Notamacropus eugenii: one gene and its partner. The protein of the gene in region 2 binds, or shares a complex with, the protein of the main gene of each other region. Links are inferred from orthologs where the notes say so. Each region holds a gene or a part of one and is shown on either strand. Other genes may lie near its edges. The genes, in order: FKBP4 and HSP90AB1.

Evidence for each region.
Region 1: the proteins of HSP90AB1 (region 2) and FKBP4 are in contact, whole or in part, in a crystal structure (PDB 1QZ2), measured with the Homo sapiens proteins. The link is inferred for Notamacropus eugenii from reciprocal best matches to the Homo sapiens genes HSP90AB1 and FKBP4. Residues at the interface, in NP_001258898.1 of Homo sapiens: Met720, Glu721, Glu722, Asp724; in NP_002005.1 of Homo sapiens: Lys282, Asn324, Met327, Lys354, Arg358, Lys387.

Annotation. Positions count from the first base shown.
Region 1 is NC_092874.1:203,103,904-203,115,126, forward strand, and holds the start of FKBP4 (peptidyl-prolyl cis-trans isomerase FKBP4), read right to left. Parts: upstream 5,509-11,223; 5' UTR 5,150-5,508; coding exon 5,045-5,149; intron 1,988-5,044; coding exon 1,843-1,987; intron 1,324-1,842; coding exon 1,181-1,323; intron 1-1,180. UniProt on the Homo sapiens protein: Immunophilin protein with PPIase and co-chaperone activities. Component of steroid receptors heterocomplexes through interaction with heat-shock protein 90 (HSP90).
Region 2 is NC_092873.1:107,730,579-107,742,474, forward strand, and holds the start of HSP90AB1 (heat shock protein HSP 90-beta), read left to right. Parts: upstream 1-7,093; 5' UTR 7,094-7,794; intron 7,795-9,346; coding exon 9,347-9,493; intron 9,494-9,798; coding exon 9,799-10,005; intron 10,006-10,101; coding exon 10,102-10,261; intron 10,262-10,395; coding exon 10,396-10,529; intron 10,530-10,700; coding exon 10,701-11,006; intron 11,007-11,280; coding exon 11,281-11,446; intron 11,447-11,585; coding exon 11,586-11,776; intron 11,777-11,896. UniProt on the Homo sapiens protein: Molecular chaperone that promotes the maturation, structural maintenance and proper regulation of specific target proteins involved for instance in cell cycle control and signal transduction. Undergoes a functional cycle linked to its ATPase activity.

The DNA of each region.
Region 1 (11,223 bases), on a different chromosome or scaffold from region 2:
TAAGTGCAGGGAAGGAGGAAAGTATCCCAGCCTTCTCATCTTATAGATAAGGAACCTGAGGCTTAGGGAGAACAAACCACTTGCCCAAGGTGACACAAGGAGTCAGTGTCAGAGGCAACATCTGCCTCCAAAGCTGGTGTTCTTTCCACTGTACCAGAGGACAGAATTTGCCCTTTTCCTCACCCTCTCATATGAGCCCTTTACTCCTTACTAACATTTCCTTTCTAGTCTAGCAAAAGGCTCTGCAATTCCATGCCAGCTTCTGATGGAAAGATGGGAACCATACTTGGGAGGTCAGGAGGATAGATCATTTCCTCATCAACCTGGCTCAATATCCAAGCATGACTATCTGATTTTAGTCAACATCAGTGTTGGTCTCCAACTATCTAGATCTAGTTCATCAAAAGAGAGCACACTTTTCTAATCCCTTCTAGCTCCCTGATTAGGACCTATGTGATAGGTCTTAAAATGTCTAATCTAGAGATCACTGAAATCAACAGGGTAGGTGACTCCTTCACAAACCCTCAAATGGTAGTACTATCTGTGAGATACAATGGCTGAAAAATTCATCCCTGAAGCCCACCTAGTAATGAAGCTGTCCAAGTTTATTTCTACTTTTAAGGTAAGAAGTCCATCACTGTACTCATGTCAGACTTTGTCCTCTATTTATCTGCAAATTGATCCCTTACTGATCTAGACTTTATCTGATGGCTGTCAGGACATTGTGCTCTAAAATGTGCTACCTTGGATGGTTTTTACCTTTTCTCTGTGTGTATTCTAAGTCACTGGCCAGGTGGTCAGCAGGGAGGGTAGGAATGACCTTTTCTTTCTCCACATTGCTGCATGCTTGGGGTAGGATGTTCTCAAGTAAGCATGCTGATTTGGAGCAGGCAGGCAAAGGACAAAGAAACTCATGTGCTGAACGCTCTCATCACTTCCTGAGATAAGCAGGAGAATGCCCAGGCTGGTAACGGCAGTAGCCCAGCTATAATTCCTACCCATCTTGGAAGAGGCAGCTTCACCTTATGTCCTCCCACTAGGCCAGGCCCTTAGCCTTAGCCACAATGTTTCCAAGTCAAACGGGCTGGAGGACAGCCAGACAGTGAGGAGGAGATAAAGCCTGGCTCTTATTCTTTCTGTTTTGGATATTACTCTTTCTATTTCATGGCCTATCACTCACCTCAAACACCAGGGTAGTATTGGGGGGGATCATGGGAGGGCTGCCAGATGAGCCATAGGCATATTCTGGTTTGCAGGTGATGCGGCAGACTTCTCCAATTTTCATGGTGGCCACGGCTATGTCCCAGGCTTTGATTACCTCCCCTGCAGACACAAAATACATTAGGTTCCCCCCCCAGCACCTTATCTGAGGTTTTGTCAAAGGCCAACAGGCTGTCCTAAGAGGTACCCAACAAGCCAAAACTGACCCCCCCCTCTTTTGGATGAGACCAAGTAAGTAGGAAGTCCCATCCCCCACTAACTGTTATAAACTCCCCAAAGTCCAAATGGGGCAAAAACTGTTGCTTTTTAATCCTTATATTTAACCCTTAACCCAATTGTCCAAGAAGATAGCCAGAGAAGAACTATGTTCTACTGCCTCCAAAGTCCAGAAGATTAAGATAGAAATCATCACAGATGCGGAGAAATGGAGGGAAGAATTCAGTGAAGAAAATGGAGGTGACAATAAGAAAAGGGAAACATAAGAAGGACAAAAAGATCCTTGAGTCTGCAACAAGTAATGCTGCCCTGTGTCTAGCTAGGCCTGGACCTAGGAGGACCACTGGAGTGTTACCACTAGCTGGCTCACCACAACTCAGGACACTCCTTAGCCATCAAGTTTACCTTTGCCTAAGTCAAAGGAGAACTTGTCCTTTCGATCCAAGCTGGAGTCAAATTTGGTACCGTCCAGCAGCCAGCCAGTATAGTGTACGCTAACCTTGTCGCCGATCATGGGAGTCTCAGTGCCTGTCCCTTCTCGCTTGATCACCTACGAGTGAAAAGTACATTCACATCTTCATCACCAGTCCCTCCCATCAGAGGCTATGAGTCACACCCCTTGTGGGGAGAAGACCCTCAGCTAGGATCTATTATCAGTCCCCAAATTAACCTCTTCCTCCTCACAGGGGAAGGTGTATGCACAGGAAGATCTCCTCTTCCCTGATACAATATAATTCAAAGACTGGAACCTGAGCCAAAAGATTGGGTTAAAATTTCAGCTCTCCTACTTATTATTTGTCTGGTTTTGGATAAATTCTATCATCTACTAGGGCTTCAGTTTCCTCATCTATAAAATGAAGAATCTGAACTCAATGATCTTTGAGGCTGCTTCCAGCATTAATGACAGCAAAAACATTACAGCAACAACAATAACATTAACAACCAGTCTTTATATACCACTTTAAAGTTTGCAAAGTGCTTTACCAGTGTTCTCATTTGTTCCTCACAGTAACCCTGGAAGTGCAGTCATTTGTATCTTACTCCCTGACAGGTACTCTTTGATCCAGTGACACAGCTCTTCTGGTGGTCCCACAAATCAGACACTCCATCCATCTCTCTGCCTCTGGCATTTTCCCTGGGCCATCCTCCAAGACTGGAACACCCTCCCTCTTCTGCTCTAACCACTGACCTCCCTGGCTTCCTTGAAGTCCCAACTAAAACCTCACCTTCTACAGGAAGCCTTCCTCAACCCCTCTTAATTCCTGTGCCTTCCCTCTGTTCATTATTTCCTACTTATCCTGTATATAGTTTCTGTGGTATATATTTGTTTACATGTTGTCTCCCCTGCTGGACTGTATAGAGGGCAGGGACTGTCTTTTACCTTTTTTTGTATTTCCAGTGCCTGGCACAGAGTAGGTGCTTAATGAATGGTGTTTGATTATCCCCATTTTTATGATGAAACTGAGGCTGAGGTTAAATGCCTTGCCCAGGTTCATACTAAGACAATAAGTATCTGAGGTTGCATTTGAACTCGGGTCTCTTCTTGACCCCAGGACCAGTGTTCTCTTACCCATTTGGTAAGAATCCCAAGTCTTCCTGCCTTTGAGGTCAGCATTCTATCCACTACATCACACTGCCTCTTATGAACTTGTCTGGCCAACAAGAAAACAGGGACTGATTTGGAAGGAAGGAAAAGGGAATAAGGAATCAGAACTGAGAGAGATAAACCTAAGGTGAAAATGACAAGGATCTAGAGAAAGCAGAATGGGAAAAAAACCAAACAAACCAAAAGCCTGGATTGTGCCAAGAGAGGGGAAGCAGATGAATTATCAATAAAATGGAGATGTAGGTGTAAACACAATTCATACATAACCTTGGCCTTGGAACAAATGACCTTGGACTTTTCTAGGGCCTTTCTGTTCCAGTCTGTCTTTCTGTTCTGAATTTTGAATGACTGTTTAGAAGTCTTAAGATTTTGCCACTGTACCTTTGGGAATCTCACCACAACTAACTATAAACTGGTAACTTTCTGGGCTCATTTCAAGAATCCTATCTCCCTCTACCTACCTTCATACACAGAAAGGGAAAAGTTTTCGAGGTATGGGCATTTCTGGGACACTGGAAGGGAAGATGAGCCAATCTGTTTGTGAAGAGGTAGACCCTCAAAACCCAGACAAGATTAAATAACCTGAGTGGAGTGACCTCCACGCGGTAGAATCGGCAAATCTCCACAATGCCATGGTTCTGGGCCATTTCCATGGACTCAGGACACTGCTATTTCCTTTCCAGAACTTCTAAAAAGATAGATTTCCTTGTGGGCCACCAGGCAAATACCTAATTGTTCTCTCCAGGGAGTTTCTCCCCTACCCTGAAGAAGAATCAGACCTCAACAGAATTAATCTTAGCTTCTTTGGATAGGGGACTTAGGGAAGAGAGAAGCAGGGAAGGGGAAGCAAGGAGTAATAATCCTTTCTTAAAAAAGGCCTTTTAGGAAAGAAAGAGGGTCCCTCTCTCAGTGTGTGTATGTGGTGGGGGGGGGGAGGAAGGGAGCATTTGCCTCCCAGAAAGAGAGGACAAAATTCAGTTCATGAACCTCTAAATCCTAGAATTCAGGTCAGGTCCCCAGCTCCAAAGGTTAGGTGACCGGTGATACACGGTAAGAGGGGAGCCCGGGGGGAGGAGCGGGAACCTGAAGATTGAATTTCATGCCATGCTGGATGCCTGCCAACCCTCTCTAAAGCCTGTTCCAATCACCCCTGGGCTGCTCCGACCCAGGTCAAGATGCTCAGGCCCGCACAATGGCCTCGCTTGGCTATCAGTTCTTCCACTTTATTCAGTAACTGCAGCCGAACCTCACGTCCTGCCCTTCCCTCGGCGGGGGTGGGGGTGGTGACAGAGGGCAGGAGGGTAACCTGATCCTGGCTACACCGCAGAGGGAGGGGTCAGCGGCAGGACCCGGGTGCCAGGGCGGAGGGCCGTGCAGCGCACACCCTCCGCTCCCCTTGGGTCCGCCTGAGTCCCGAGAGGCCCCAGGACCGGGTAACGGCGGTCCCGCAGGGCCCCGACAGCCCGGCTAACGTTTAACTGACCTGGCCGGCTCCGGCCACCTTATCCACCAGCGCGGGCTACCGGCTCCTAAGCTCCAGAAACATCTTCGGTGGAAAGGGGGTTCAGGGGAGCTCAAGGCTCGACCCCGGCTAGCCTGCAGCCCGCGGGCACTCCGGGGCTCTCGGGCCATCGCGGCCCCACCTCCTCTCCCCCGGATCCACGCTGGGGGGCCGGGCCGGCCCAGCGGCGGCGGGCGGCATGGGTTCGGGTCCTGCCTGCGCTCCCACCCCGGCTGGGGGCTCCCACCCGCCTTCCTCCCCCAGATCTTCCCCGTCCGTGAGACGGAGGGGAATGCGGGCTTCTGCTGTGCCAGGTCCGGGGGGGGCACGGCCGCCGCGAGGTGGCATTGGCAGCCCGCCCCCGGGGCCCGGGGAATGCCCGCGTGGGCTGAAGCCCGTGCCCCGCGTGGAGGCCTGAGCATGTGCGGCAGGCCCGTCTGCTTCCCCCGCCCAGACCCGACCTAAGGCTGCCTCCTGCCCCGCGGGCCACGCGCGGGTACCTTCAGCACGCCTCCATCACGTTTGGGGGTAATGTCCACCCCCTCCAAAGGCAATGGGGCCGACTGCGCGGTGCTCTCCGCCGCCTTCATCTCCTCCGCGGTCATCGCCGTCCACAGAGCCTCCTTTCAGTCGTGAAGCTGGGGCCCGGGAGCCGAGCCAAGCCGCTCCCCGTCTGCCTGGGCCGGGTGGCTGCGAGCACGGTGGGAGTGGGGCTGCGGCGCGGCCGGGCCGGGGCCGGGCAGCGCGCGGCTCACTTGCTCCTTCTGGAAACTCCCTTTTCCCGAGGAAGACGGGGAGGCGGCGAGCCGACTGCGGGGGCCAGGCCCGGGGCGGCGCGGAGCGGCGGCGCGGTGCGGTGCGGTGCGGTGCGGCGCGGAGCGGAGCGGAGCGGAGCGCACGGACCAGGCAACTACGAGTGCGGACCGTGTGGCTGCTGGGGAGAGGTTGGTCCCACCCCGCACCCGCCGCCGCCGGGGGCGGGGCTGGGAGGAGCCAGGGGAGGGGAAAGGGAGGGCGGCCGAGGAGGAGAAGTTTCCAGAGGCGGCGTCCGCCCCGCCGGTTTGGCCCCTGCGCCCACGCAGAGGGCATTCAGATATTCCGACCCTCCCCCAACCTGAGCCGGGGAAGGGGGGAACCCCCACCGACACCCTCGGTTCTCTGGACTCGACCCAACAACGCCTTCTCTCCGGACGCCCTGCCACCCATCCCCCTCCCCTCCCGCGCTCCCTCCTCCGGGCTTAAACGGACTCTTCCAGATCCTTCTCGATCAGGCTGGAGCCTTCCCCAGCTCATTCAAAACCCGTCCTTGCCCCAGTTCGGTTTGTGCTGTGCGGAGAGGCCGGCTCCCGGCACGTGGCGAGAGAGGCCGGGGAGCGGGCGCCCGGGGGCGGCCCTGGGCCCCCTGGCCGCTCTCAGCCTTCGCGGGCTCGGGCGGTGGTGGTGGTGCTCGGAAAGCTGCACCTGGGCGGCGGGCTGCTCTCCCTGTCTCCCTCTCTCCCTGTCTCCCTGTGTCCCTCTCCCTCTCCCTCTCCCTCTCCCTCTCCCTCTCTCTTTCTTTCTTCCTTTCTTTCTGTCTCTCTGTCTGTCTCTCTCTCTCTCTCTCTCTGTCTTTCTGTCTCTGTGTCTGTGTCTCTGTCTGTCTCTCTCACTGTCTGTCTCTGTCTCTCTCTCTGTCTCTATGTCTGTCTCTCTGTCTCTCTGTCTCTGTCTTTCTTTCTGTCTCTGTCTCTTTCTTTCTGTCTCTGTCTCTCTGTCTCTCTCTCATTCTCTCTCTCTCTCTCTCTCTCTCTCTCTCTCTCTCTCTCTCTCTCTCTCTGTGTCTCTCTCTCTGCCTGCCTGTCTCTCTTTCTGTCTCTGTCTCTCTTTCTTTCTCTCTCTGCCTCTCTGCCTCTCTGTCTCTCTGTCTGTCTCTCTCTCTCTCTCTCTGTCTTTCTGTCTCTCTGTCTCTGTGTCTCTGTCTGTCTGTCTCTGTCTCTCTGTCTCTCTGTCTCTCTCTCTCTCTCTCTGTCTCTCTCTCTCTCTGTCTCTCTCTCTGTCTCTCTCTGTCTCTCTCTGTCTCTCTCTGCCTGCCTGTCTGTCTCTGTCTCTCTGTCTCTGCTGACCTGCCCAGGTACATACTTTTCGGGAAAGGAAAGAATGAACCCCGTTTCCCCAGCCCCCTCCAGACCAGTCCTCCAGAAGCACCTGGCGCAGAGCTCGCCCGGTCCTTTCGGACCTCCCTGCTCCTCCGTGGGTCCCAGCAGCGGATCTCGTACAACAATAAGGGTCTGCCTTCCCGGCCTAAGGCGAGCCCCGCCGCCAAAAGCAGAAACGTTTCAAACACACCGAACATCCATTCTGGGAAGTGAAGGGGGAAGGATTTTTTGTTTTATAGTTCACAAACGTTTAGTGACCACGCAGGATGTGCACTATATTATAGAATAAACCTAAAATAACATTGATGTCAACAAACACATTGTTGCTAATATACAGAGGTTATCTTTGGAGTCAGGAAGGGCTGGGTTCGAGTCCTGTATGATTTCTGGGCAAATGACCTCAGAAAATGGAGACTTTATATAACCAATTCTAAGGGAGTTCTTTCTGCCAATGAAACCATACGTTCACCTACACCCCACTCAAAAAAAATTACAAGAATACCATACTAAAGTCTGGAGAAAGAAAAAAGTGAAATATGAACATATGGATAAATTTATTGCTTATTAATTAAAATAATAACATCATTATTGCCCTCATGGAGCTTTTCATCTGCAGTAGGGAGATGATATGTAAACATATATTCAGGGATGAGCACGTTAGGAGGTGCAAAACAAGATTCTCTGGAGTCATTCATTGAACAGACTGCATAGTTTGACTCAGGGGCGGGGAACCTATAGCTCTGAAGGCACATGTGGCCTTTTAGGTCCTTAGGTGGGTCCAAGTCTTACAGAACCCCTAGTCTGGCTTCAGCCTACCTTCAACTACTTCACACCCTACAATCCAGTCAAATTAACTTACTTACTGTTCACGGGTTTCATCTCCATTTATGTGCCATTGCAAATGTAGTCTGTGGATAAGGGGATGGCCAAATAGACAGACCTGATGTGGATACATTTGAACCCAAGGTAAGACTGTATCCCTTAGCTAAGACTCCCAAGGCTTATCCAGCTACGGCTATTATTTAACGCAGAACATTTAAAGTCCATAAATTCATATTCATCCACTAGAGCAAAACGTCTCCCCTGTTCAGTAATAATACAGTGGTTTAATTTTCCTCATCCATGTCATTAAGATGTTAAAAAGTTTTGAAATATAGTCTTTCATGAAGCCTCAAAATATTTCTAGTGAATTTAGTACTTTAGCTTTTGTTTCCAGCCACATAGCTTCCTTTGCTCAGTCATTACCATGTAGATTTGGTGGGTTGGAAGGGTATGCCCTAAGGCAGGCAGACAGGCATTATCCAGAGCACCCCAGAGTCTTCTGGCCTAGGCCTTGACCTTGAAGAATGGGTACCAATGAGAAAGGGTACATTTTAGGTACACCTTGAACTAGCACGCCCTGAGGCAGGCACACAAACTTGGCCCACGACATCTTTTCTCTTCCATTCATGGAGCAACAAAAGGCAATTCCTTTTTACCTGTTGAACCATTTACTTCCTGTTTCCCTCAGACTTGGTAGAAGGAGGGAAGAAAGCCTTTTGTCCCTTCTCCATAACAAGCAAAGCAGCATGCATTGGAAGGTTTTTTTTTTGATGCTTGTTCTTGTTTCTGTGCTGTTTGAAGCTTTTATTTGAAAACACATTTTCTTTGTCTCTCTCTCCTTTCTGTCTCCTGTCTGTCTGTATCTCTGTCTCTGTTTGTCTCTTATCTAAGGTGGTCTGACCATGAATGCTTGCAGTGGGATTGACAAGAAGGTAGAACTCAAGTCAGGCTGGTTGGGAGCAGAGCTGATGAGGGAGAAAAGGCATTTATAACTAATAATAATGTTTCAGAGTTCGTGTATTTAGATCATACCTCCTGAAGCAGGGGTGGGGAACGTGTGGCTCAGAGACCACATGTGACCCTCTAGGTCCTCGAGTGTGGCCCTTTGACTTAATCCAAACTTCACAGAACAAATTCCCTTAAAAAAAGATTTGTTTTGTAAAATTGTAAAGACCTGGAAGCCATAGGTTCCCCACCCCTGCTGGATCTTTAAGTTTTTGAATTTGAAAAAAATGTAAAAAGAAAATGATCTGAAAAAGTTCATTGGGGCAGCTAGGTAGTGCAGTGGACAAATTACTGGGCCTGGAATCAGGAAGATCTGAGTTCAAATCCAGCCTCAGATTCTTCCTAACTGTAAGACCTTGGACAAGTCACTTAACTTTTACCTCAGTTTCCTCATCTGTAAAAATGAGGATATAATAGCAATTCCAGGGTTGTTGTCCCAGGAGGATCAAACAATATAATATTTATAAAGTGCCTGGCACATGGTAGGTGCTATACATATTAGCTATTATTGTCATTATGAATTAGTCACAAGCTTTGCTAGGTTTGGTGATGATTTTTCTTCTTTTCTTAAATTTATTTATTTTTAGTTTTTAACATTCACTTCCATAAGCTTTTGAGCTTTACATTTTCTCACCCTTCCTCCTTCCCCTCCCCGCTTCCCAAGATGGCATACAATTTGACATAGGCTCTACATATACATTCATATCAAACATTTTCACATTAGTCTTGCTGTAAAGAAGACCCAATGGGAACCAATGGGAAGAACCATGAGAAAGAAGAAACAACAGCAAAAAAAGAGCAAATAATAAGAAGCAAAACGAAAAACAAAGCCACAATAACAAGTAAAGAGAGCAGATAGTCTGCTTTGATCTGCATTCAGACTCCAGAGGTCTTTCTCTGGCTGTTGATGGCTTTTTCCATCGTGAGTCTTTTGGAGTTGTTTTAGATCCTTGCATTGCTGAGAAGAGCCAAGTCTATCAAAGTTAGTCATCACACAGTGTGGCTGTTTACTATGTAGAGTGTCCTCCGGGCTCTGCTCCCCTCACTCAGCATCACTTCATAGAAGTCTTTCCATGTTTTTCCAAAGTCTGCCTGCTTATCATTTCTTATAGCACAATAGTATCCCATTACATTCATATACCACAACTTGTTCAACCATTCCTCAGTTGATGGGCATTCCCTCAGTTTCCAATTCTTGGCCACCACAAAAAGATCTTCTATAAATATTTTTGTGCATGTCAGTCTTTTCCTCGTTTTTATGATCTCTTTGGGATACAGACCTAGAAGTGATATTGCTGGATCAAAAGGTATGCACAGTTTTATAGTTTTTTGGCCATAGTTCCAACCTGTTCTCCAGAATGTTTGAATGAGTTTACAACTTCACCAATACATTAGTGTTCCAATTTTTCCACATCTTCTCCAGCATTTATCATTTTCCTGTTTTGTCATGTTAGTCCATCTGATAGGTGTGATGTGGTACCTCAGAATTGCTTTGATTTGCATTTCTCTAATCAAGAGTGATTTAGAGAGTTTTTTCATGATCGTATATAGCTTTAATTTCTTCATCTGAAAACTGTCTGTTTATATCCTTTGACAATTTATTAATTGGGGAGTGACTTGTATTCTTATAAATTTGACTCAGTTCTCTATATATTTTAGAAATGACGCCTTTATGTGAATGGTTTTTCTTGAGCATAAACTGGCACTGAAATGACTGATGACTAGTGTTAGAATATACCTTAGGGTTAAGGCTACCATTAACCTCACGTAGCTTTAAGTACCTTTGAGACACACCTAAACCATGGATCCTCTCTTTCTCATGGGCCATGGGGCCTTATATTCAAGACAACCATCCTCAAGATGGCAGGAAGGTCAAGAATCATGCAAATTTTATTAACACCATTTTACAAATAATGAAAAGATAATTTAGAGGGGTTAAGGTGACTTGTCCAAAACCACACAGTTAGTAAACAGAAGACCTTTTCACCTTTATTCAATAATTTATACAGTTGCTGACAGGAAAGGCTAGAAAGAGAAGTGCTTTGTTCTAATTTTGTAATAACCAATTTCATAATAACAGAGCCTTTCATTCTTTCTGGTATCTGTTCTGTTGTTCATGTAGAGTCTTTTCTACCCAATTTAGCACTTCAGTATATAGAACAGCTGGGTGGTACAATGGATTGAGTGTGTTGGACTTGGAAGACCTGAATTTGAATCCTGAATTCCTCATTGTGTGACTCTAGGCAAGTCACTTAACTTCTCAGACTGTTTCCTCATTTGAAAACCAAGGATAAAATAGCAATAAATAGAATTGAGACACTAGTTACTGGTGACTAATAATAGGGAGGACACACTGGAATGGGGGATCAGTAGTACTCTTTGAATGTAGTAGGGAGATGCAGCAGACATAACTCTTGGAGAATAAGGTCAGACAATACTTGCAGTGGATTATCTTAAATGTGTTTACACATACTTTGTATCTGCCTGTGTGTTGTCTCCCTTTAGAATGTAAGCAGGAATTATTTCCTATTTACCTTTGTGTCCCCAGTGACTAGCACAGCCTCTGGTACATCTAATAAATGCTTGCTTGATTGGTTATTTGATAACATGACTATTATAAAAAGAAGATTCTGCACCCTCTCCCCATATTTCTGCGACTCACATTTTCCATGTCTTCCTTTTTTTATCAGATTTTAATCTCTCTTGTTACAGATAAG
Region 2 (11,896 bases):
GTAGGATTATAAGTAGTGGTTACTATCATCCAGGCCCTGGAGTCAGGAAGACCTGAATTCAAATCTAACCTCTGCCCCCTAGCTCAGTTACCCTGGGTACTTCCCTATGCTTCAGACAACTCCCTAAGATTTAGAAGAGTGGGGGTGAGCTCGGGTAAGTCCCAGACAAGGATTGCCATCTATGGTGCAGGGAGTACCTATACCAGGCTCTCCAGCAGATGAAATTACTGACCCTTCAGTCATTCCTATATTACAGTATAACTGTTGATATTAATTCTGGTAGAACCATTAAAAAATAAATAAGAAGCTGGTTGTGGCATTCCATATTTGTAATTGTCAGCTCAGAAGTTCTAAGCTGCACTTGGCTAAGTCAATCAGGCATAAATATGATATGCCCTTGGGAATGGGGAGCCACCCATGTTGTTTAAGGAGAAAAAAAAGGAAGGAGGGAGGGAAGGAAGGAAGAAAGAGAAGGGGGAAGTAAGAGGGGAGGGAGGGAGAAAGGAAAGGGAGAAGAAAGAATGAGGAAGGAAAGAAGGTAAGGAGGGAAGGAGAAAGGAAGGAAGGAACAGCAAGGAAGATCGCTCTTAATATACAGAATACCTTGTAGGCAGAATACGTTATCATGATTCTCCTCATCATACCCCTTCCCCTTCACCCTCCAATAGATTATCAGCTACTACAGGGTAGGGATTGTTTTTTGCTTGTATAACAGCATCTGGTACTATGTCTTATACAATAATAATAGAATATTATTGCTCCATAGCAAATGACAAAAATGAGGAATTCAGAGAAGCACAGGAAGCCATATATGAACACATAATACAAAGCAAAGTAGGCAGAACCAGGAAAATGATTTTCCCAATAATTGCAGCAATGTAAATGGAATTGACAATAAAAACTAAACACTGGAAAATTATAATGACCATGATTGACCCCAGAGAAGAGAAAAATGTATCTCCCTTTTGCTGAGGTGGTGAATTTATGTATGTGAGGTGTTTCATTTGCTGTTCAAGGTCTGTTGACTGGTTTTGCTGAATATTTAAAAAAAACAAAACTACATCACCAGAAAATTCTCTGGGCAGGAAATGAGGGCAAGGACATATATGGAAATCAATGTGTTATTTAAAAAAAAATATGAATTAAGCTTAAAAAACAAAGTGAGGTAATATAAAGTACACTGTAAACTTTAAAGGATTGAACAGGTTATTGTTATTATGTTTGCTTAGTCTGAAGTCTTTGAGCTAAGCAAATGACCTTTCTGACCTCTTCCTGATCAGATTATGAAAGCCCCAACTCATCCTCAAGTAATGTCAGCTCTTTTCAAACTTTTTGGTCTGAGGACCCCTTTACACTCTTAAAAATGGCTGAGGACCCTATGCAATGTGGCTAATGTGAAAATGTGTTTAATAAGAATGTATGTGCAGAATCCAATAAGATTGCACACCATCTTGGGGAGGGAGGGGGAGAAAATTTAAAACATAGGGAAGGGATTGTTGAAAATCCTAAACAAATAAATTAATTTTAAAAAAGTAACATCAAAAAAATTGCTGAGGATCCCCTAAAGAACCCCAAGAGTGGATTACCTATCAATAATTACCATATTTGAAATTTAAATGTCTCAGTAAAATTTTGAAAATATTTTTGACCCCAAAGAGCCCTAAAAACTTTTTGAAGACTCCTGAGGGTCCCTGCAACCATACTTTGAGAGCTACTGCTCTAGGGGAAGGCACTCAGCTCCATACGGAGACCTGTGCAGGGTTATACAGGGCTACGTATTGCTTTATGATAATAACAGCTAGCTTTTATGTAGTCCTTTACATTTTGCAAAGCACTTTACAAATGTTACCTCATTCGGTCCTCGTAACAGCCTTCGGAGGTAGGGGCTGTTATTCTCCCTGTCTTACAAGAAAACTGAGGTAGACAGAAGTGAAGTGACTTGCCTGACTAGGAGGAGTCAAAGGCCAAATCTGAACTCATTGTCTTCCAGACTCCAGGTCCAGTGCTCTGTCCACTGAATCAACTATCTGGGAACATCTGATTTGTTATGATCTTTACCAGTGCAGTGGGGTATGCCCAATTTGGTGAGATTACTTAGCCATCAAAGTGCCATTGAAATACTCTGGAGAGGAGAGGCCTATGAAATCATTCTCTCTTCAGCCTTGAGCCTCTCATAGGAATAACTTGAATTTGAAACTATGGTAGGGCAATTAGGGGACATGGTGAATGATGGCCCTGACTTGGAGTTGGAAAGACCTGAGGTCAAATTCTGCTCATTCATGTAACAATGGGAAAAAACCAAAACACCACACTACTACCCCCCCCCCAAAAAAAAAAAAAATCCCAAACAGCCTCAGTTTCCCCATTTGTAAAATGGAGATAATATCACCTCCCTCTCACAGATGTCAGGAGAACCAAATGAGATAATATGTCAAACACTTTGCAAATCTTAAATTGCTATATGAATGTTTATCTTTACCATCATCATCATCATTATTCTTCCTAAAGGCATGTCTACTTCTAATCAATGAAAAAAATGTTCCATTTCCATGTTCAAAATTCCAAAAATCTCTCTGATCATGTCTTGTCATTCTGTCTTTCTCTGTACCTTACCTCCCTTAATGTTGTTTTGTTCTCACAGGGACCTCTAGTTCCTTCACTTCTCAGTTCAGTCCCAGGCTAGCTGCCTTGTCCTGGCTACACTTTCTTCCCTTCTTTATCTTGACCCCTTGGTGAGCCAGCTTAACTCTACACTCAACTGCCTTGTCCTAGCCATGATCCCACCTTGCCAAATTCCTCCTCAATTCATTACTCCCAATGACTGGCCTTCTTTACTTCTATTTACTTGCAGCCAAGTGAAGCTGGAGGAAATCACTAAACTTTGCTGACTGGACCTTCACTACAGATAGGTTATCAAAGCTCAACCTTTCCGAATTGCAACAAAGCAATCAATCTACTCCTCCCTGCACAGATTCAGGAACCCAGCGTCTACAACAGGTGTTCCAAACCTTCTCACGTCTCCTATGTCCTTCCCTCACGGTCAGAGGACTGCAACTCATACTTTACTGAAAAAAATTCAGGCCATTTCCTGTGAACTCCTCATCTTGCCTCGTTGAAAATATCTTGCTCTACTAACTCCTTCACTCCAGTCACTAATGAAGAGGTAACCCTTCTCCTTGAGTCTACCCTTCTAGTCTTTCCCAACAGACTGCTGCCCCTCCTCTCACCATCCTCGCTCCTTCTTATCATCGATCTCTCTTTTCCTATCTTTCCTTTTCTTTTTTCTATCTCTTCCTTCCTCTCTCCCTGTCACCATCTCTCGCCTCTTTCATTTTCTATCTTGTCCTCTCTCCTCTCTTTTTTCTATTTCTCCTCTCCCTTTCTTCTTTTTTCTCTTCATTTCTCTCCCTTTCTTTTGCTTTCCCTCTCTCTCTTTCTCTTCCTCTTTCTTCCCCTCTCCTCTTTCTCCTCCTTCCCTATTGCCCATAAACAATACCATGTTTCCTCCATCCTTAGAAAATCTTTACTTGATCCCATCATCCCTGCTAGCTATCCTCTTGTATCTATATCTCCCCTTTATAACTGTAAAAAAGAAAAAGAAAAAGAAAAACCAAAACAAAATCCAAACCATCTACATTCATTGCTTCTGCTTTCATCCCCTCTCCTCTTACTCTGGTCTAAATCCTTGGCAATCAGGCTCCTGACTCCATCACTCAGGTAAAACTATTCTTCTCTTAGTTGACAAATATAATAATCCTTTCTCATTCCTCATCCCTCCTGACTGCCTTGAAGCATTTGACATTAATCACTTTTACTTCCTAGATATTCAATCTTTTCTGGGCTTTTGTGACCCTGCTGTCTCCTGGTTCTCTTCCTTCCTGATTATCCATCAGCATCTCCTGCTGGTTTGTCATCCATATAATGTCCGCTAATTGTGGGACTCTGCCTCTTCTCTCTCATCAGCTCCCATGGATTTGTTAGAAACATGCTTGATACTAAAAAGGTATCAAGGAAAATCTATTGCAGTAGAGTTCAGAGGAATTGAAAGCCCTGGCCAAAGCAGACTCCAATTCCCTTTTCAGGAGGAGGAGGTGCTGGATACAGAAGTGAGAGCATTTTTATACTGTCAGTTCAGGACAGATCTTCCCATCAGGAGATGGATTGGTCCATTCTCCATTAGGTCACCACCTTTACATGCCCATTATGTAACCATCCTTGGTGTGATTCCTCCTCCCAAACATGCTTCACCATAGGACCCATGACCAGAAAATGGGGGATAATTTTATGTGGGGTGTGTCTGCTTATATGCATGAGGTTCATTAAGCAAGCGCAGTGAAGAAAAGTTTTCTCCCAGTTATTCTACTTCATTTCCCTTGACTAGTTTAAGCTAGTTTTAGATTTGGTCCCCTTTTATCAAGAACTTTGTAATTTTCTGAAGGCCACCGTCTGTCTTCTGATTGGCTGAGTCCACCTGTAGTCTGCTAGCTTTCTTATTATCTTATTCCCAGTCACTTCATCAACTAGTACCTCTGTGGAAACTTAACTTTTTGCTGTCTCTCTCTCACAGTTTCAAAAATCATCTCTACAAAGATGGCTGCTAGAGCTATATATCCAGACCTAGCTTCTCTCCTGAGCTCCAGCTTCATATCAACAACTATCTTTTGAAAATCTTGAATTGGAGGTCTCATAAGTACCTGAAATTCAAAATGTTCAAAAATGAGTTCAAAGGAACTCATTATCCATTCCTCCAACCCTGAAACCTTCTCCTCTTCCAAATGTAGAAGATGCCACCATCCTCCTAATCACCCAGGCTCTCTATCTCCCTCATCTCACACATCTACTCCATGAATCCATTGCCAAGTCTTATCATTTTTACCTTCACACTTCTTGTATATATGTCCTGTTCTTTTCACTCACATAGCCACTGACCTATGGTTATCAGGCCTGTCTTTGGAAGACCTGAGAGGTCAAACCTTGCTCAGATACTTGTGTAATCCTATTATTATTATAATTACTATTAAAGCTATAATCTTCTAAACTGGTCTCTCTGCCTCCTCTCCTCCCACTCCATCCATCCCACATCCACCTGCCAAAGTCAGGTTTCTAAAGTGCAGGTTTGACCATGCTCCAGTGGCTTCCCTCCAGGAAGCCTCCAGAATCCCTGGATCTCTATGACTTCACTACCTCCAGGATAAAATATAAAGTACTTTTACTTTTAAAGCTCCTCATAAACTGGCCACTTTCTACCTTCCCAGTCTTCTTACACCTTACTTCCCTCCACAAATTCAATGATTCAGCCACACTGCCCTCCTTGCTCACACAGGAGATTGCTATTGTCCAGTCACTTTCATCATATCTGACTCTTCATGACCCTATCTGGGGTCTTCTTGGCAATGATGCTGGAGGGGTTTGCCATTTTCTTCTCCAGCTCATTTGACAGATGAGGAAACTGAGGCAAACAGAGTGAAGTGTCTGAGGCCAGACCTGATGAACCTTTCCGACCATTCCAAGCCCAGTGCTCTACCCATGCCACCACTGCACTCCGTCTCCTGGACCTGTCTGGCATTCCTGGAATGCTCTCCTCCTAACTCTTACCTTTCTGGGTTTCCTTCGGATGAAAACCTCAGCAGCACAATCCCCTAGCTGGTGGATCCCCCATTCCTAGAGCCTTCCCGGCTGAAGTCACCCTGCCTTGATACACCTGTTCATTGACCCGTTAGAGTGGCAGCTGGCTCCCTGGGGGAGAGATCGGGGTTGGCTTTTCTCCTTTCTTTGCATCCCCCACACTTGGCACCACGTCTGGCACATCTAATAGATGCGCCCTGCCTCGACTCGGTTTGAGCCCCGTACCCCGCCTTGAATTCTGCCCCACCCCCCACCTGTCTGTCGGGAGCTGGGGAACTCGCTGCACACAGACTTGTGCATCTAGGGGCAGTACAGGAGAAGCAGCCCGGGAACGTCCTTGGGGTTTCTCAGATCGTTCTCCAAAATCTCTTAATCCTGGCCCTAGCCTGCCCGCCGAGGTGGACCCCACGGGCGGGTGCCAGTGTGCGCGTGTGTGCGGTGACTCTGCAGATACCGCGCACCTCACCGCACACGGGCTGGGCCCAACGTGCGCCCTGCTTCCCCGGGCCCCTGGGGCGCCCAGGACCTTGGCAGCTTCCCCTCCATTAGCCCTCCCGGCTCAGCCCGCTGCCCCCGGCCCCCTCCCTCTGTGGGAGCCTCAGGGGTAGTGGAGGAGAAGGGGGTTGTTGGGTCGGGGTGGGGGGCGCGGGGAGGGGCTTGCTCTAATGTTCCTCCAGTGGGGATGGCCAGTCGTGGGAGGGGCACTGGATGGGACTCTGGATATTGAGGTTACAGGAAAGGGAATGGGAGAAGAGGGGGAGGGGAGGTACAAGCATGTATTATGCGCCTACTGTGTGACCGAGCGCCGGGCAAAGCACTTGACCGGGGCTGGGGTATAGAAAATGGAGCGCAGTGGGGACGCCGCAGGAGGGATGCGGGGGATGCGGGGGATGCGGGGGATGCGGGGGATGAGTCCGCGGCCGGTCCAGGCCCGCATTGGCGCCTTGGCTCGCTGCACGAAGAGCTCAGGCCCAGTGGGGGGGGAGGGAGGAGGAGGAGGGAGGGGAGGAGGTGGGGGGGCGGCGTGCGGGAGTGGGGGGGGAAGGAGAGGGGGCGGGGAATGCGACTAGACAGGCGTGGAAACTGCTGGAAATGCCGCCGCACTGCAGAAAGGCTCGGCTTCCGCCGCCGAGCTCCTTGGCAAAGAGTCCCGGAGAGCTCGCCCTTCCCCCAGCCCATTCTGCCCGTGGGCTGGAGCGGGGGGGTGGGGATGGGGAACCAGCTTGGGCTTTACTGCCCTCCTACCTTGTGGGGGCCACCTCTTTTGCGGGGAGCCCCCCCACCCTTCAGAGACATAGCTCTGCCCTGACCTCCCTGCCACTCCACGTGTACCCCTCCCAGCCGCTCAAAACCGGTTCAGAAAAAGCCCCCGGGCTGTTCTGCGCGACCCCGGTTTGTCCTCTCCCCCACGTAGGTCCCGAGGGCAGGAGAGCGAGGCTACCTCGTGGCTTAGCCCTCCTCCTCGAGGTGGGGGGGAGGGTGACACTAGCTTGGAGGGTGGCCGCTTGTCGCAGGCAAGGTCCCAGCATCTCTCCCCAAGGCAGATCGCGGCGAGGGTCTCGCGACCCCCAGCCCCGCCCCAGCCCCTGGCTCCGTCCCCGTGCGGCTGGAGAGGCTGCCCCCGCCCCTGCCCCCGTCCTGACCGTTCACCGGTTACGTCAGTGAGTCCATCGGTGAACCTTTGTTAAGCCTCGGCTGAGGGTCAGGGCCGACGGCTCGGGGAGCTTTCTGGGAGCTGGCAGGTTCACGGGTGGGAAACCACGAACCGCCAGACAAAACTCGTACGAACGGGGTGACCTTGGGCCTCAGTGACCTCATGTGTAAAATAAACGTGATCCCTAAAGAAGGTTCCTGCCTATTCCAGTAGTTTCGTTTCTATAATCTGTATGTGCGTACAATGTGGAAAGAAGGAGGGGGGGCCGGGAGAAGCTGCAGGAGAAGGCCGGCGGCGCCCTCGGAGGCTGCAGGTGCGCGGTCTGTGAGGCGGCCCCTTTAAGGCGGAGGGATTCGCCTGGGAAGCTCCGACGCTATCGGTGCGCTGCCAATATATAGGGCGGGTGGGGGCGGCCGGCAGCTTCTCTTGTGCCAAGCTCCTCACGGTGCGAGGTGTGCGTAGCCGCTGGACTCAGCCCTTCTCTGACCCGGCCTGCTTGTCTGCCATCGCTCAAGGTGACGTATTCGCTACATTCCCGTCTAATACCTCTTATCTTCCTTTTCTACTCTGCCTTTTTTCTCATATTATTACCCACAAAGGTTTTAATGCCCCCCCCCCATCCCCGCCGACCGTTCAGACTTCGGTTTTTCTGAGTAAGGCTATTCCCCTCCCCCAGCCTCTTTTCTTCTTCCTAGCCTCAGGGAGGGTTCGGGCAGGGAGTGACAGCCGCGCGGGGGCCGGTTGGTCGGCAGCAGCGTTCCCGGGGGGTTAGGGTTAGCACGTGGTGGCCGCGCCGGTCCCCACGGGACGCTGCCATGTTGGGCTCGCACCTCCACTTCCGGCGGCTACGGGGAGCGAGAGGGGCATTCGGCGCGCGTGTGGGGGAGCAGGCTGGGGTGACTCAGCACCGGGGTGGGGGGGCGAGTCCTTCGCCAGGTTTCATCTTTGCTTTTCGGTTGCATCACTGTCTCGGTCCTCTAGGTATCTTTCCGTGCTCCACTTTCCCTGGCCATCATGGCCGCATTTTTCAGTAGCGCGTTGGGGGGGGGGCCCGCGGGGCCGCGGGGGAGGTGGTTCGAGAAGGGAGGAGCAGGTTCTGGAACATTCCCGGGACTCCCTCCCCCCTCCCTTCGCGTTGGGGCCCAGATTCTTCTGGAAGCTTCTGGAGCCGCGCGCCCCGCCCAGGTGCCCGGATGCTGGGATGGCGCCGGAGCCCCCAAGCGGGGATGGCGGGGACATCGTGCCCCTTAGGCGGTGGGGTGTCTCCTCCTCCCGACCTAGAGGATCGGCCCCAGGCGGGAACTCCTCCCTCCCCGCGGTGCCGTGTTTCACTCAGCGGGGTTGCAGGCGCGGACACTGGCTCTTTGTCCGCATCCTTTGTCATCCCTTGCGCTAGACCTGGCCGTTATCCTGGTGGGCCTCCCCCTCCCCCATGCGGGGGCCGCTGCCCGTCCATTTGTTACCTAGTGTTACTCGGCACGAGGCAGGCAGGCCCCGCCCCGAGCGCTGCGCTAGGCTCCGGGGATGCTGATGCGGGCTTCACTGCTTGGCGGGTGCCTCTGGTGGAGTGGTGCTGAAGGGCTTCCATTGTAGTGTGAATTGAGGATGTTTAATGGCGGGGAAGCCTATTAATTAATTAGCGTGCCTTTTTAAACCGAGTTGGAGAGACTTCCATTGGATTTCTCTTTCTGGGGAATCTCAGCTGGGGGCTTTTTTCCCCAAAACATCAGCAGTAGACATTCTAGGCTGTTAAAAAGCAATAATGAAATCTTTAAAGGTCGTTTCTACCCCCAGATGTCAAAAGTTACTGGACTTCAGTGATTTCTGGAGAGTATAGAAGCGTTTCTCCAATATTTCAAAGTCTACAGGGCATTTGCTTTTCATCTCTGGGTCCTTGAACTGACTCAAAACAACCAAGTCTGGTGTTTGGGTTGTTTTTTGACTGCTTAATTGTTGAGTTAACTGAACCTGGCATCTGGGTAGGAGTCACTGGTTTTTCTCAGATAATTCTTGTGGGGGAGGTCAGATATTAGACTCTAGATTAACTGTACCCTTTTATGTTTAAAGATGCCTGAGGAAGTACAGCATGGAGAGGAGGAGGTGGAGACCTTTGCCTTCCAGGCAGAGATTGCCCAGCTTATGTCCTTGATTATCAACACCTTTTATTCTAATAAGGAAATCTTTCTTCGAGAGATTATTTCCAATGCCTCTGATGTAAGTGTTACTATTGATGATAATATGGTAACCTGGGGAGGGAATAGGAGGAGGGTGGTGGTCTTAATCAGGTTTTCTGTTGTCACTCCTCCCCACAGAGGGGGTTATGAGATTTTTGCATCATAGGTTGAAAGAAAGCTGTCTTGGTTAAGCAAGTCTGTGAATATCATTCTAATTGAAGAGCACAGTACAAGTAGTACAAGTAGTCGACACTCATGGTGTTTAGAAAGAGGTGGAAAGCTAGAAAACTCTGAATTATAGAGAAGATAAAGGGATAGCTAATAGAGTTGTATTCTTTCTCCTAGGCGCTGGACAAGATCCGCTATGAGAGTCTGACAGATCCTTCCAAATTGGACAGTGGTAAAGAGCTAAAGATTGACATCATCCCAAATCCTCAGGAGCGTACTCTGACTTTGGTAGACACTGGCATTGGCATGACAAAAGCTGATTTGATCAATAACTTGGGAACCATTGCCAAATCTGGCACCAAAGCTTTCATGGAGGCTTTGCAGGTATGACATCTGCATACTTGTATTTGTCACTAGGGTTCCTTGATGTGAACCTTTTTTTCCTCTGTATCTCCAATATCTCCTTGTTATTTCATGTAGGCTGGAGCAGACATATCCATGATTGGTCAATTTGGTGTGGGTTTCTATTCTGCTTACTTGGTGGCAGAGAAGGTAGTTGTTATCACCAAGCACAATGATGATGAACAGTATGCCTGGGAATCTTCTGCTGGTGGCTCTTTCACAGTCCGTGCTGACCATGGTATGTATGTAGCTTAGTTTGTCTTCACGTGGGTTAAAATTTCTTTGAATTGAAACATGTAGGTTAAGAAACTTAAGAGGCTTGTTTTGGCCTTGTTCTTATTCCAACTAATGTGACACTGGTTCTTGTTTCAGGTGAGCCTATTGGCAGGGGCACCAAGGTGATCTTACACCTGAAAGAAGACCAGACAGAGTATCTGGAAGAAAGGCGGGTCAAGGAGGTTGTAAAGAAGCACTCTCAATTCATTGGCTATCCCATCACACTTTATGTGAGTATAAACTACCACTTTGTGTATATTCTTTCTTATTCTTTCTCAACATGAGTTATGTTAGTCGTAGGGGATGACTGCTATTTTTAATTTAATCATTGAGATTACTTTTGCTTATAAGTCTATGCAGACCTAATTCAAACTGAACTGTTTGTTTTTGGCTGCCCTTAGTTGGAGAAGGAACGGGAGAAGGAGATCAGCGATGATGAGACAGAGGAAGACAAAGAGAAGGAGGAGGAAGAACCAGCCAAAGATGAGGAGAAGCCCAAGATTGAAGATGTGGGATCTGATGAAGAAGACGAAGGCAAGGACAAGAAGAAGAAAACCAAGAAGATCAAGGAGAAATACATTGATCAGGAAGAGCTGAACAAGACTAAGCCCATCTGGACACGGAACCCTGATGACATCAGCCAAGAAGAGTATGGCGAGTTTTATAAGAGCCTCACCAACGATTGGGAAGATCACTTGGCAGTAAAGGTATGAAAATCTTGAGGGCCAAAGTGTAAGAGGGGAAAGGCAATAACATTTGGTGCAGACAAGATGAAATGCAAAATGGACTTGACTGCATTAAAGAGCTGTTTTCGATTTTCTATTGGAATATTAGTAGAACTTTCAGCAGTCATACTTGACACTATGTCTTGGGTCTCTGTGAAGTGTCATCTTGCAGGGTTTTTCTCCTTGGAGAAATGTTGAACTCTAGGCAGCAGTTTTCTGAACTAAGGGTGAGAAAAATTGTTCTTTGCCTCCTTAGCATTTCTCCGTGGAAGGTCAGCTGGAATTCAGAGCTCTGCTCTTCATCCCCCGTCGGGCTCCTTTTGATCTCTTTGAAAACAAAAAGAAGAAGAACAACATTAAGCTGTACGTACGGCGTGTATTCATCATGGACAGTTGTGATGAGCTTATTCCTGAGTATCTTAGTAAGTGTTCCTATTTGCAATATTCGTTTAATGGGCTTACTATTTGCTTTGTGAAGATTCTAACATTTTAGACATGTGTAAGCAAAAACCGATTATTTTCTAACATGGTGATGGGTTATTTTTATCCTTTTTCTCCTAGATTTTATTCGAGGTGTGGTGGACTCTGAAGATTTGCCTCTCAACATTTCCAGAGAGATGCTGCAGCAGAGTAAGATCTTGAAGGTCATTCGTAAGAACATTGTCAAGAAGTGTCTAGAGCTCTTCTCTGAACTGGCAGAAGACAAAGAGAATTACAAAAAGTTTTATGAGGCCTTCTCAAAAAACCTGAAGGTGAGCACCTCTAGGTTGTTAGATAACTTTCCTTTGTAGGTTTTGGAATACTTGTCTGAAGTATGACAGAACACTGGTCTTAGCTGAGCCTATACTAACATGTATATGTGATGTCTTTTC